Linked DNA regions of Mus musculus. The protein of the gene in region 3 interacts with the protein of the main gene of each other region in a pairwise test. Links are inferred from orthologs where the notes say so. Each region holds a gene or a part of one and is shown on either strand. Other genes may lie near its edges.

The links.
Region 1: the proteins of Pex5 (region 3) and Acot8 interact in binary tests that used the Homo sapiens proteins (3 or more experiments, as listed by UniProt). The link is inferred for Mus musculus from reciprocal best matches to the Homo sapiens genes PEX5 and ACOT8.
Region 2: the proteins of Pex5 (region 3) and Ech1 interact in a two-hybrid assay, tested with the Homo sapiens proteins (2 studies listed by BioGRID and IntAct, with this or other methods). The link is inferred for Mus musculus from reciprocal best matches to the Homo sapiens genes PEX5 and ECH1.

The regions. Positions count from the first base shown.
Region 1 is NC_000068.7:164,802,082-164,806,293, reverse strand, and holds the start of Acot8 (acyl-coenzyme A thioesterase 8), read left to right. Parts: upstream 1-1,412; 5' UTR 1,413-1,476; coding exon 1,477-1,604; coding exon of another isoform or gene 1,605-1,607; intron 1,608-1,634; exon of another isoform or gene 1,635-1,707; coding exon of another isoform or gene 1,708-1,732; intron 1,733-3,160; coding exon 3,161-3,297; exon of another isoform or gene 3,298-4,212. Other genes in the region: Zswim3 (zinc finger SWIM domain-containing protein 3), read right to left, coding at 863-1,017. UniProt on the Homo sapiens protein: Catalyzes the hydrolysis of acyl-CoAs into free fatty acids and coenzyme A (CoASH), regulating their respective intracellular levels. Displays no strong substrate specificity with respect to the carboxylic acid moiety of Acyl-CoAs.
Region 2 is NC_000073.6:28,824,045-28,828,137, forward strand, and holds the start of Ech1 (delta(3,5)-Delta(2,4)-dienoyl-CoA isomerase, mitochondrial precursor), read left to right. Parts: upstream 1-1,293; 5' UTR 1,294-1,316; coding exon 1,317-1,368; intron 1,369-1,829; coding exon 1,830-2,034; intron 2,035-2,140; coding exon 2,141-2,229; intron 2,230-4,093. UniProt on the Homo sapiens protein: Isomerization of 3-trans,5-cis-dienoyl-CoA to 2-trans,4-trans-dienoyl-CoA.
Region 3 is NC_000072.6:124,412,268-124,416,438, reverse strand, and holds the start of Pex5 (peroxisomal targeting signal 1 receptor), read left to right. Parts: upstream 1-1,371; 5' UTR 1,372-1,466; intron 1,467-1,557; exon of another isoform or gene 1,558-1,672; intron 1,673-1,988; 5' UTR 1,989-2,005; coding exon 2,006-2,152; intron 2,153-2,396; coding exon 2,397-2,432; intron 2,433-2,737; coding exon 2,738-2,870; intron 2,871-3,038; coding exon 3,039-3,170; intron 3,171-4,171.

The sequences.
Region 1 (4,212 bases), on a different chromosome or scaffold from region 3:
TCCCTCCCGCCCCCCAACTCCCCACTTTGGTTTTTCAAGACAGGTTTTCTCTGTGTAGCCCTGACTGTCCTGGAAGCTGCTCTGTAGACCAGACTGGCGTCGAACTCACAGAGATCTGCCTGCCTCTGCCTCCTGAGTGCTGGGATTAAAGGCTTCCACCACCAACCCCCTTTCCCTGTATTTTTTTTTTTAAACCAAACTGATTTGTCTCAAACTCATGACCCGCCGGCCTCAACCTTTTCGCATTGGGCTTCTAAACCTGCACCCTTATTCTTTCTTTCAAAGAAAAACTAAAAGCTAAATTTATAGTAGGCTGTTTCACCTGAACCCTAAAAGCCCTGGCGTTTTCATCAGCTTTTAGCCCCTAAAGTCAAATGAGTCAGGGAGCTACCACCAATAATTCTGACACACAGCCCTGCAGAGTAAGAAAGGCACTCAGGGAGCACCACCTTGGATAAGGAAGGTGTTTGAAAACGGCTGTATCTGGAGCTCAAGAATCATTTACAAAATCAATCACCGAAAAGAACCAACCAACCAACCAATGAGCACCATTACTGCTTTGTAAAGAGGAGGCTAATGGAGGAAATTATTACTAAGGCGTTTCAATTCACTCCTCAACCAGCCTTGCGCTTGAGATAGATTCTCTCAACAAACAAATAAAACGGAAAAACAACAAGATGCAGTTACTGCGAATTCCCAGGAAAGCTCGTGAATGAAGGAGTGGGAGCAAGCGCGGCGGGTAGCAAAGGCCACGCCGGTGAGGTTTCCCTCGTTTTTCCGCAGGCACGGGGAACGTGGCTCCTCCATGCACGCCCTCCTCCTCCAGGCAGCCCTCCTCCCCACCCTCCTGCCCCGCCCTTACAGGATATCCTCGCGGAAAGAGGTGCCGTTGTTGAGGTTATGGAAGCGGACGGAGATGCAGTCCCTGACAATGAAGGAGCACCTGGTCTCCTTTTTGTAGGCGCTGAAACACTCCTTGAAGTCCTCGTAGGTCTTAAAGCAGCTGCCTAGCTCCATGGCCGGGGACTGGCCCTCCTAGAACCTAGAACCACGGCAGGGGTCAGAGGTCACTGGGTAACGGCTGGCACGGGCCCAGCTGCGGTCCCGAGTGAGTGGCTTACAGGGCGCTTGGGAGGAGCCCAGAACAGGAGGAGACCGGTAACAGCAACCTAGGGGCGACTTTGCTCAGTGACAGAAGAGGAAAGACGCTCATCCCTTATTATTCATCTCCAAGGCTCCGCCCCCTCGCTGATTCACCCAATCACACGCGGATGTCCAAAACTGACACAAATATCCTCCAATCTTAAGATAGAGCTAGCCGCGCCCACTCTGAAATTGACAAGCACATCGACCAATCACAATCTGCGTCTCGCTCCCCGGAGCCCTTGGGATTTCCGGCCCCTGGAGCGACCTTCCGGAAGCGCTGGGAGCCTATATAAGTTTCCGCGTTTCTCTCAACCGCAGCCAGCAGTGAAAATGTCAGCGCCAGAGGGTCTGGGAGATGCTCATGGCGACGCCGACCGCGGCGACCTTTCCGGGGACCTCCGTAGTGTGCTGGTCACGAGCGTGCTCAACCTCGAGCCGCTAGATGAAGATCTCTACAGGTAGCCGGTAGCGCCTCTGAACTAGGCTCGCACCCCTCTTTCAGTATAGAGTCGCGATTACTGCCATCTCCCTGTGAACCTCAGTTCTGGGGTTAAGAGTTGGATGCAAGCTCTGCTGCAGTTAGAAGGCATGTCCCTGGCATCCATCCTTGCTTCCTCTTCAGGAGGCGATCTGGGGGGTGGGGGGGGAAGGTGTGTGTGTGTGTGTGTGTGTGTGTGAGAGAGAGAGAGAGAGAGAGAGGGAGAGAGGGAGAGAGGGAGAGAGGGAGAGAGGGGACAGAGACTCCGCTACCCCACAAGGCAGCTTAATCTGGTAGACTGAGTGTGCGTGTGTGTTCGTTTGTTCAAGCCATCCCTTAATGTCTGGTAAGTCATTACTTATCTTTCACTGAAGTGGGTTTGTAACAATTTTTTTGTTTTGTTTAGAGACAAGATGTCACTAAATATAGTCCTGGATGACCTGGAATTCACTATATATATATGAATGGAGAGGGAGAGAATGAGAGAGAGAGTATATATATATACACAGCAAGTTGGCTTGGAACCCACAGGGATCCACCTTCATTTGTCTCTTAAGCGCTGGCAGGAGTTCACCACCAGGTCTAGCTGGTTGTCTTGTTTTGTTTTGAGACAGGCTTTCTGTATAGCCCTCCCTGGCTAACCTGGAACTCTGTGTAGACCTGGCTGGCCTTGAGCTCACAGAGGCCAGTGTATCTCTGCCTCCCAAATCCTGGGCTCAAAGGTGTGTACCACCATGCCTGTTCAGTGACAGTTCTGACCCATGCAGCCCTTACGACTTTATCAGAAGCTATCGTTCTTCCAGCTAGGTAATTACTGTCTTGGGCCAGGAGCGCTTTTCAAATTGTTCTGTAAAGAAAAAACTGACAATCTCAGGGTTGAGTGCTAGGACTCAGGGTTCAGGCTCCAGCACTGGGCAAGCCCTTTCACCTAGATTAATCTGCAGGTAGCCGGCAGCGCCTCTGATTTCGGCTAGATTAATCTGCATTCAGTTTCACAACCTCAGACTGTTTTTTTTTTTTTTTTTTTTTTTTTTTTTTTAAGGGAGTTATATGGGAAGTCTTGAAGTCCTTTTAGCTCTGAAACTAGTTCCTGGAAGAGCTGCCTTGTCATGGTTAAGGAGTGCCAGCAGCAAGCCTTCATCCACACAACCCAGTCCCAGATCTGTTTTTTTTGGAGTTCCTCATGTCTGTTCAAGGCCTCAACAAACTTCTGGCCTCTCCCTTTCCCTGGTTTGGGGCGGGGAAGCTGTGGACTTGAGACCTCCCAGGGTTGGTAAGGGTTGAACTGTGTGGACATGCTTCCTGTACTCTTGCTGTAAACGAGGGAGCTCGCGCTTATGTTCTGTTTGAAGTCCACAGAAAGCTTGGGTAGATGCGTGGACGAAAGATTTGTGCGGTGATGTAAGAGATTCGAGAGCAGACTCGTTGGCCTCCCTCGGGTTCTGAAAAAGGACCCAAGTAACCTTAAACCCTTTACTGGAGGCTTACGGAGTTCACAGCGCCCCTCAAGTCTTTTCCACTTTCCTCTCTCCACAGAGGAAGGCATTACTGGGTACCTACCTCCCAGCGGCTCTTTGGGGGTCAAATTATGGGCCAGGCCCTGGTGGCTGCAGCCAAGTCTGTGAGTGAAGACGTCCATGTCCACTCCCTGCACTGCTACTTTGTCCGGGCAGGTAAACCCCGCACCCTGGCGCCTTGCTTGCAGCCACACTTGGTAGCCCAGTGGTTACTTCTTCTTTCCTGGCTTTGAAGGCTAACTCAAGGGTAGGAGGAGAGTTAGCGAGGAGGATGAAGAAGGGAGAGAGAGATGATTCCCTGAAAGGTACCTGAGGGGCAGAGCATGCAGCTTAGTACTAGCACACTTGGCTAGCACCAGGAGGGGTCTGTGTTCTATCTCAGGGACCAGAACAAGCAGGGAGGGAGCCCATCACTTGGCTTAGGTCTGCAACCTCAACAGTTTGGGAGGCTGAGACAGGCTCTGGAAACAACCTGCATCCATATCACACTCACTGAGACTCATTAAGTGCATATTCTGTTTCTTTTTAAAACTCTTTTAAAAAATTATTTATTTTATATTATGTGAATACACTGTAGCTGTCTTCAGACACTCCAGAAGAGGGCGTCAGATCCCATTACAGATGGTTGTGAGCCACCACGTGGTTGCCGAGATTTGAACTCAGGACCTCTGGAGTAGCAGTCTGTGCTCTTACCCACTGAGCCATCTTTCCAGCTCCATATTCTGTTGAATGACGTGGACCAATGCTTCTCTGCTCTCAGTGGGTCTTCCCTGGAGCTTTCTTGGTTGATTTGATTTTGAGATAGGGTCTCATTGTGTAGGCCTGGCTGGCCTCAGCCTTTATGACCTCAGGCCGGGCTCTGTTCTTTCTTCATTCTTTCTGCCTGCCTCTGCCTCCCAAGAGCTGGGATTAAGGGCTTTTGCCACCATACCCAACCTTCCTTCGTTTATAAAAAATATGTATATGTATGTATGTATTTGCTTATTTTTGAGAGATAGATGTGTATATGTCTATGCCTAAATGAGTTCCACGCTGCTCTCCTGCTGTCTGAAGAGGCAGTGGGTACGCAGG
Region 2 (4,093 bases), on a different chromosome or scaffold from region 3:
AAACATCTCCCTAAGGAGCACACTTAGACGGTATTTTATGCTCTTGGGTAATACTTTCTCAGGCTTTTTTTTTTTTTTTTTTTTGGTATGTCTGTTTTGAAAATATAGCCTTTGCCAGGTGGTAGTGGTAGCACATGCCTTGAATACCAGCACTGGGGAGGTAGAAGGTGACAGATCTCTATAAATTCGAGGCCAGCCTGGTTCACAGAGTTCCATGATAGCCAGAGCTACACAGAAATTGTCTAGAAACAAACAGCATATTATTATATTTATTTAGACAGGGTCTCTATAGTAATGGAACTTGCTATGTAGAAGAGGCTTGTCTTGAACTCGCAGAGATCTGCCACCTGCCCCTGTCTCTGTCTCTGTCTTTTTGGTTTTTCGAGACAGGGTTTCTCTGTGTAGCCCTGGCTGTCCTGGAACTCACTTTGTAGACCAGGCTGTCCTGGAACTCAGAAATCCGCCTGCCTCTGCCTCCCCAGTGCTGGGAGTAAAGGCATGCGCCACCCTGCCCGGATTTTTTCCCTTTTTTTTTTTTTTTTTTTTTTTTCTTTCCCTGCCCCTGTCTCTTGAGTGCTAGGATTGAAGGTATGAGGCACCACATTGAACTTCCTTGGGTTCTTTTCAGAGTCTTTGTTGCGGGGGCTGGGTGTAGGATGATCCCTTCTCAGGAGGCAAAAGGTGGAGGATACTTGAAGTTACAGGCAAGCCTGGGGTTTTATATAGACCTTACATAAATCAGGGAGAAGAGCCTGGGGATATGTTCGGTGTTAAATGTTTGCCTATGTTGCCTCAGTCCCCTCGCACCACAAAACAAAGGAGGGTGGCGTTAGAGCCATTTACTCCTGCCTACGCACTTCTAAATGTCCAGTAACCTTGAATCCGTATAACTTCCCTGGTCCAGGAGCCAACTTCTGGCGGTAAGGGAATAAAAACTGCTTAATTCTGGCCAGCCGGTATCCTAGCAACTAAACTGCTGCCCTTCTGTCCTTGACTATTTCAGTTGTCTGCATTTTGTTCCAACACAGCGTTGTGATGAACTTTATACACAATTTTCCAACAGCACTGTGAAATATTTTCTCAGGCCAGCGTCCCACTGGGCCAAAGGTTTAAGCAACGTCCCAAACACATGAGACACGAAGGAGTGCTTTTTTTTTTCGTTTGCCCTTAGTAAAGATGGCGAACTAGGTGGGACCTCGCTGCTAAAGGGCGGTGGCCGCGGTGGCTTCGGTGCCCTTGACCAACATGGCGAACGTTCGTGCCCGCCCCCTAAGTTTTTCTTCGGGAGTAAGTCGCACAGCTCCGGAGCTCCAGAAATGGCTACCGCGATGACAGTTTCCAGTAAACTCCGCGGCCTGCTGATGCAGCGTGAGTTACCCCTTAATCCGTGGGGGCTCGTTTTTGTGTCGTCTTGTTATAGCGGCGATAAGACGGGAAGTCTGCCTGGGTCGCTTTAAACTCAGGAGTCCTTTTGTAATTTAAAATGAAATTATAATTTTTTAGGTCTGTCTTTCAACCTGAATTCTTTGTCCCCAATCTTGGGTCATTTCCACAAACAAGGGTCTAATGTAGTCTCAGACTGAAACTTGGTTTTTCGAGACAGGATTTCTCTGTGTAGGCCTGGCTATCCTGGAACTCTCTGCAGACTAGGCTGGCCTCGATCTGAGATCGGACTGCTTCTGCCTTCCAAATGCTGCCTCCCAACCACCTCCTGGCTTGCATACCCTAATCTTAAAAGTTATGTCTGGTCATGCCAGCGCCCCTAAAGAGCATATACTGTTAAAATGTCCCCATTCTAGGCTCTCAAAGTCTCTTCCTTGTCTCCCCAGAGCTGAGAGGTACCAGCCAGCTGTACTTCAACATCAGCCTTCGATCTCTGAGCTCCTCTGCACAAGAGGCCTCCAAGAGAGCCCCCGAGGAAGTCTCAGACCACAACTATGAGTCTATTCAAGTCACAAGTGCCCAGAAGCATGTTCTCCACGTGCAGCTAAACCGGCCAGAGAAGAGGAATGCCATGAACAGGGCTTTCTGGAGGTCTGGCCTGCAAGCCCACAAGCCTATCTGCTAGAGGAGACAGAGGTGGGCAGGGACAGGGGCTTCCCACTCCAGATATAACCCTTTACTTCTTATGCCTCTGCAGGGAGTTGGTGGAATGCTTCCAAAAGATATCCAAAGACTCGGACTGCCGGGCTGTTGTAGTCTCCGGTGCAGGAAAGATGTTCACTTCAGGTACTTGTCTGCCTGCTGGCGCCTCTCCCCCTGCTGGGGCAGCCATGCTAGCAGTTTTCTTTGCTGATTTTGTCACTTACTCTTTTTTTTTTTCCCTCCCCTGGCTGGCCTGGAACTCTCTATTTAGACTAGGCTACTCTAGAAGTTGAAGTAATCCTCCTGCCTCAGCTTCCTAAATGTTGATGCTGGGATTGTAAACATGACTCAATGCTTTGGCCTCCTTTTGTTTCTAGAAGGAAACAAAAATACTGGGCCGGTGGCATGTGCCCTTAGTCCCAGCACTGGAGTGGCAGAGGCCAGTGGCTCTCTGGGAGTTCACGGCCATCCTGGATGACAGAGCCAGATCTAGGACAGCCAGGGCTGCACGGAGGAATCCTGTCTAGAAAAACCAAAAAGAAAAAGTTACTTTTATTTTTGTGTGCGCGTGCATGCACACGTGTGCAAAAGTTAGATGACGGCTTTTGGAAGCTGGTTCTATCCTTCCCCATGATCAAGTGGACCTGGATGCTGGTCCTGCTCGCCTGCAAGCCTTCAAACTCCTTTTCCTGCTGAGCCATCTTGCTGGCTCCATAGTGGTTCTCAATGAAAGTTTTTATTTTTATTTATTTATTTTTTAAAGACTTATGATTATATAATAATATGTAACATAAGATCCCCCTAGGGCTGGTGAGATGGCTCAGTGGGTAAGAGCACCCGACTGCTCTTCCAAAGGTCCGGAGTTCAAATCCCAGCAACCACATGGTGGCTCACAACCATCTGTAACAAGATCTGATGCCCTCTTCTGGTGTGTCTGAAGACAGCTACAGTGTACTTACATATAATAAATAAATAAATCTTTAAAAAAAAAAAAAAAAAAAAATCCCCCTAGGGCTGGACTAACAGGTTGGGTGTGATCAATTTGACAGTGTTGGCTCACAACCATCTGTAATGAAATCTCATGCCTTCTTCTGGTGCATCTGAAGACAGCTACAGTGTACTTAGATATAATAATAAATAAATCTTTTTTAAAAAGTATATAGGTTCTTAACTGTTGAGCTACGCCATTAGTCCTCAGTGGGTTTTTGTTTGGTTGGTTTTCTGAGACAGGGTTTCTCTGTGTAGCCTTGGCTATCTCGGAACTTGATCTGTAGACCAAGTTCAGGCTGGCCTGGAACACAGAGATCTGTCTGCCTCTGCCTCCTGGGCACTGGGATTTAACAGCTTGCACCACCATGCCCAGCTTTTTTTTTTTTTCTTTTTTTTTTTTTTTCAGTCTAATTTAAAACATTCACCCGTGTGTGGGTGTGTGTACTCAGGAGTTGGCTCAAAGCCCAGAATTCCCTCCCTACCACAAATTCAAGCATAGAAATTAGCTCAACAGAACCTGCTAGGATCCTGAAGTTGGATTAACCGCAGTAGATCTGTAACCTTGAATGAGGCTCTGGACCTTTCAAAACCTACAGGGGTGTCTAGCCAAGGGTGTTACATGCAGTGACTTCTGCCTACCCCTGCCCCCCCCCCCCCACGTGCACACACACACACACACACACACACACACACACGCACGGAAGTTACTCCACTACCCTTTCTCCTCTCTGACCCCTGACCCCTTCTCCACTTTAGCATGGCTTGTTTCCCAATTTTCTGTTCTGCTGTGAAACCCACCCAATGATTTTTTTTTTAATTTTATTTTATGTGCATTGGTGTTTTATGTGCCTGTGTGAGGGTGTCAGATAGCCTGGAACTGGAGTTAGAGACAGTTGTGAGCTGCCATGTGGGTGCTAGGAATTGAACCCGGGTCCTCTGGAAGAGCAGCTGGTGCTCTTACCCCCGAGCCATGTCTCCAGCTCCCACCCGGTGATCATTTTTGCTTCAGGTGTTTTGT
Region 3 (4,171 bases):
GTGTGTGATGCGTTTTGAATGCTTCTGGGAGATGCTCTCCCATTTCCCCATGACCAGAAATTCAAACCATCATATGCTTTCCTTAAACACTGCTTTCTCCAGAGATTCTCCTGTTTTAACATATTCATCTTCCAAGATGGCATCCTTTCCTCCTTGGTGTGGTTTAGTTTATTCGTTGCTAGGTGTTTTTTTCTTTACAATGGCAGCCTGGAAACAGTGGACAGGGATGAAATTTGTGGTCAAGGAGAATGGGTGTATGTGTGTGTGTTAGGGCCTCTGAAAGATACTGACAGTGTACTAAAGACAGAAACATTGCACAATATTCTGCCTTGTTCAACCACTGCAGTTATAAGGGCAATTTCTATTTTCCCAGGGACGAATTTACACTGCCTGTGTTCCCTGAGGAAGGCTACCTTTGAAATCATCAGGGCAGCAAAGAACCAAGCCTGCCCCAGGGCGCCACCTACAGACTACCTGCTTCTCCCGCACCCCGGGTTGGGACGTACGTCAGGCCTTTCTAGAACCAGTTTCCTCCTAGCCCACCTACCAGCACTCTGAACCCCTCCCCTTCTCAGGACGTCAAGGAGTCCGTCGGTCTTGGACCTAGGTGAGCTATCAAGGTTTGCTTTCCAGTGTGACCTTGAGGTCTGGCACCCGAGCCATTTCTCTGGCAGATGGTGGAGCCTGAGGCTTAGGTTCATATTCCCTGATCAAAGGTATTCCTTGCCACGTTTCCCCAACTTGGAGCTGCAGGGAATCAGGCCATCGTGACCTTGACCAGTAGGAAAGAGGAGAGAGGAGTGACTCACAGCACTCTCCCCATCCATTACAGGATTGAGGTCTCAAAATGCGTTGGACCCTATTTTAGTCACCAGAATTTGTCATCATCCGGAGCTATTTTCTTCATTACGCAGAGATGGTAGAGGCAGGCCCCTGTCTCCTTGGAGGCTGTGACGCTGTCCTGAAGGAGCGTCTGTTGGAAGGGGGGTCAGGCCTAGGAGGCCGAAGCAGGTCATAGATTTGACCTCCGAAATCTCCCGGGCTCAGTTTGGGCGATTTAGAGGTGCAGGAGAACCAGGAAAGAGAGCTGAACCGTGGAACCTGAAACCTTGGTTTTTCTCCAAAGCCAGAGAGGCCTCTTCTAGCTCCAGTCCTCTGAGTTTTCCACTAATAAATCCTGGCGTTCTAGGGACTACTGCAGGTTTCCCCAATCCAACTGTCCAGGACTGTCTCCTTTAAGGATCTCGGCTCCGCCCATCACGCTGCGCAAGCTTGAGGCCCCGCCCCTTTACCCGTTTCCGTTGAGCTGGGCCGCAGCGCCGCCGTCCCGGCCCCTTTAAGGCCGAGTCCCGCCCCCTTGCTCCCGCCCCCTCCCTTCCCCCAGCCCACTCCGGGTGCCTCGGCCGGTCGGACGGTGCGGCCCGCGACGGCGAGCATTGGAGCCTGGGGGCGCGGGGTCGAGGCCCGTAAGTCCCCGCCGCTGCGGTGGCCTCGTGGGACGGGGTCGAGGCTGGGGCGACGGGGCTGGGGGCGCGGGGCGCTGGGCGGGGACGGGCGCGGCCGGGGAGGGGGCTCAGGTGACACGAGCTGGGATCGGGACCCGCAGCTGGCGCCTGACCGGGGGTGTGGGTCCCGGTGTACGGTGGAAGGCGTCCCCGCTGTCCCTCGTCAGGTTAGAGTTCGGGTCTAGCCGTGTTTATGATGCGCTCCCCGTGCTCCCCAGGGGTCCAGGCCCTTTTGTAGAGCTGCTGTTGGCGGGTGGTGTCTGAGCTGCCGTCCGCTGGAGGGGAAGCCCGAGCCGAAAGCAGCGTTTCGAGTGGGAAGGCAGGACACAGCCTCCTCTTGGACTCCAGACACACCTCGGGGGGTGGCCCCGGGGGCCTGGCCCTTGTGGAGCCGTCGTGGGCCCATCTGCTCTAGATAGGGCCTGAGGCGTGCGTTGGGAAAGTCTGGCTTCCCGACCACAGTTCTAATCTTCTGTCCATCAGGGAAGCTGCTGGTCACCATGGCAATGCGGGAGCTGGTGGAGGGCGAATGTGGGGGTGCCAACCCGCTGATGAAGCTGGCCACCCATTTCACCCAGGACAAGGCCCTTCGGCAGGAGGGACTGAGGCCTGGCCCCTGGCCTCCGGGAGCCTCAGCAGCAGAGACCGTGAGTGTTCTAGGAGAGCCTATTTCTTCCACCTGACAGCTGCTTTCTCTGTGTTAAAGTAATAGCAGTCACCATTCAGTAACACTGGAGTGAGCCTTGTGCGGCTTTACACAGACAAGGACTACTATTTTATAGACAAAGAAGCTGAGGCTTTGTGAAGGCTCTTGACTTGCCTCAGGCCACCTAAGCAGTAGAGTTAGAGTTGGGTTGTAGCCTGCTATTGTCTCTTTCCTTCTTATCTTAGGTTTCCAAGCCTTTGGGAGTAGGAACTGAAGACGAGGTAAACAGAGCAAGTTTCTTTTCTGTCTTTTTTTTTTTTTGGGGGGGGGGGTTGTGGTGATTTTTTTTTTTTTTTAAATCAGTCCACTCATACTTCAGTCTTTGAACTCTCTTTACCAAATGAGATTGCCTGCCAATGTTTTCGTCTACTTTTTGGGGTATTTTTCTGGTTTCCAAATTTACAGATAGATTTTTTTTTTTCTTTATTTATCTCCAGTTTTCGTTTCTCTGTCCAACATCAGTGGGCCCTGCCTCTGGCTGAGGCCCTCTGATCCTAATGTTCATCCGACCATCTCTCTGTAATAGTTGGTGTCAGAATTCCTGCAGGACCAGAATGCAACTCTTGTATCCCGAGCCCCTCAGACCTTCAAGATGGATGACCTCCTGGCAGAGATGCAGGAGATTGAACAGTCAAACTTTCGCCAGGCTCCTCAGAGAGGTGGGTTCAGGGCCTGGTAAGACGGGAAGAGGCCAGAGGGCTTCCATCCTTGGGTTTTGCTGGCATCGGGGGACTGAGATGCTGAGGAGAAAAAGGAGGTGTTGCCCATGAGTGAGTGTGAAGGAACCTGTTTTCTTTTTTTCTTAGTCTTCTCTTGTCTCTTTTAAGCCCCTGGTGTGGCAGATTTGGCCTTGTCTGAGAATTGGGCCCAGGAGTTTCTTGCAGCTGGAGATGCTGTGGATGTAGCTCAAGATTATAATGAGACCGACTGGTCCCAAGAATTCATCGCCGAAGTTACAGGTGAGGCTTGTGGGGACATCTGTAGTAGTTGTTAGGGAGCATTTACATGTCCTGTGTTGCTGGGCGTCCTGATTCCTCTTGGGATGGAAGGTGATTTTCGCTACTAATGACTTTTCTAGTTTCTTGATTCATTTCTGTAGGATGTTAAATGTGACTTCTTATAACAATTGTAGGTAATCAAAACATAATAAAGAGAAAAGTGGGTTTGGTTGGAAAAAAAAGAGAGGGGGTGGAGAGGGAGAGAGAGAATATGAATGAGAGATTAGATCTGCCTCTTTATCAGTAACTTGACTGCTTAAGTCTAGTGGAGAGGAGCTAGAGATTGGATGGGTAGCCCAGGAAGAGAGCAGTATTCATCTCGGCACCTAGGACTCTGGCAATTCAACCATCTTGAGTAGGACTGGGGTCTGAGAAAATTGATTGTGGAGTTCAGAACCCTGAAGTCTGGCTAGGCTGCCTGTATATATATTGGCTTTTCATTTGTAGATTGAACAAACTGTGGATAGAAAATGGAAAATGTATGTCTGCACTAAACGTATACATGCTCTTTGAGTTTTTAGACAGGATCTCTGTAGTCCAGACTGTCCTCCAAATTCCAGTGTAACTGAGATCTTCCTGCCCTCGCCTCCTGAATGTTGGGACTACAAGTATGAACCACTATGCCTGGCCATGTGTGTGTGTGTGTGTGTGTGTGTGTGTGTGTGTGTGTGTATTCACTATTTCCTAATTGATATAATTGCTATATATGTAACATTTACATTATATAGGGTATTATAAGTCATCTAGAGATGTCAGAATAATGGGAGGATTTTTGTGGGTTATATGTAAATATATCATTTCACGTAAGAGACTTCAGTCTTCAGAACTTTGTATCTGTATGGGTTTTAGAAACTAATTTCTTTATGGATGGTCTTTGAGGGTAAAGATCATCTGTAACAATAGAAATAATATCAGCTTCTCTGTGTTAAGTGCATTGAATGTGTTGTTTACTTATCTCTGCA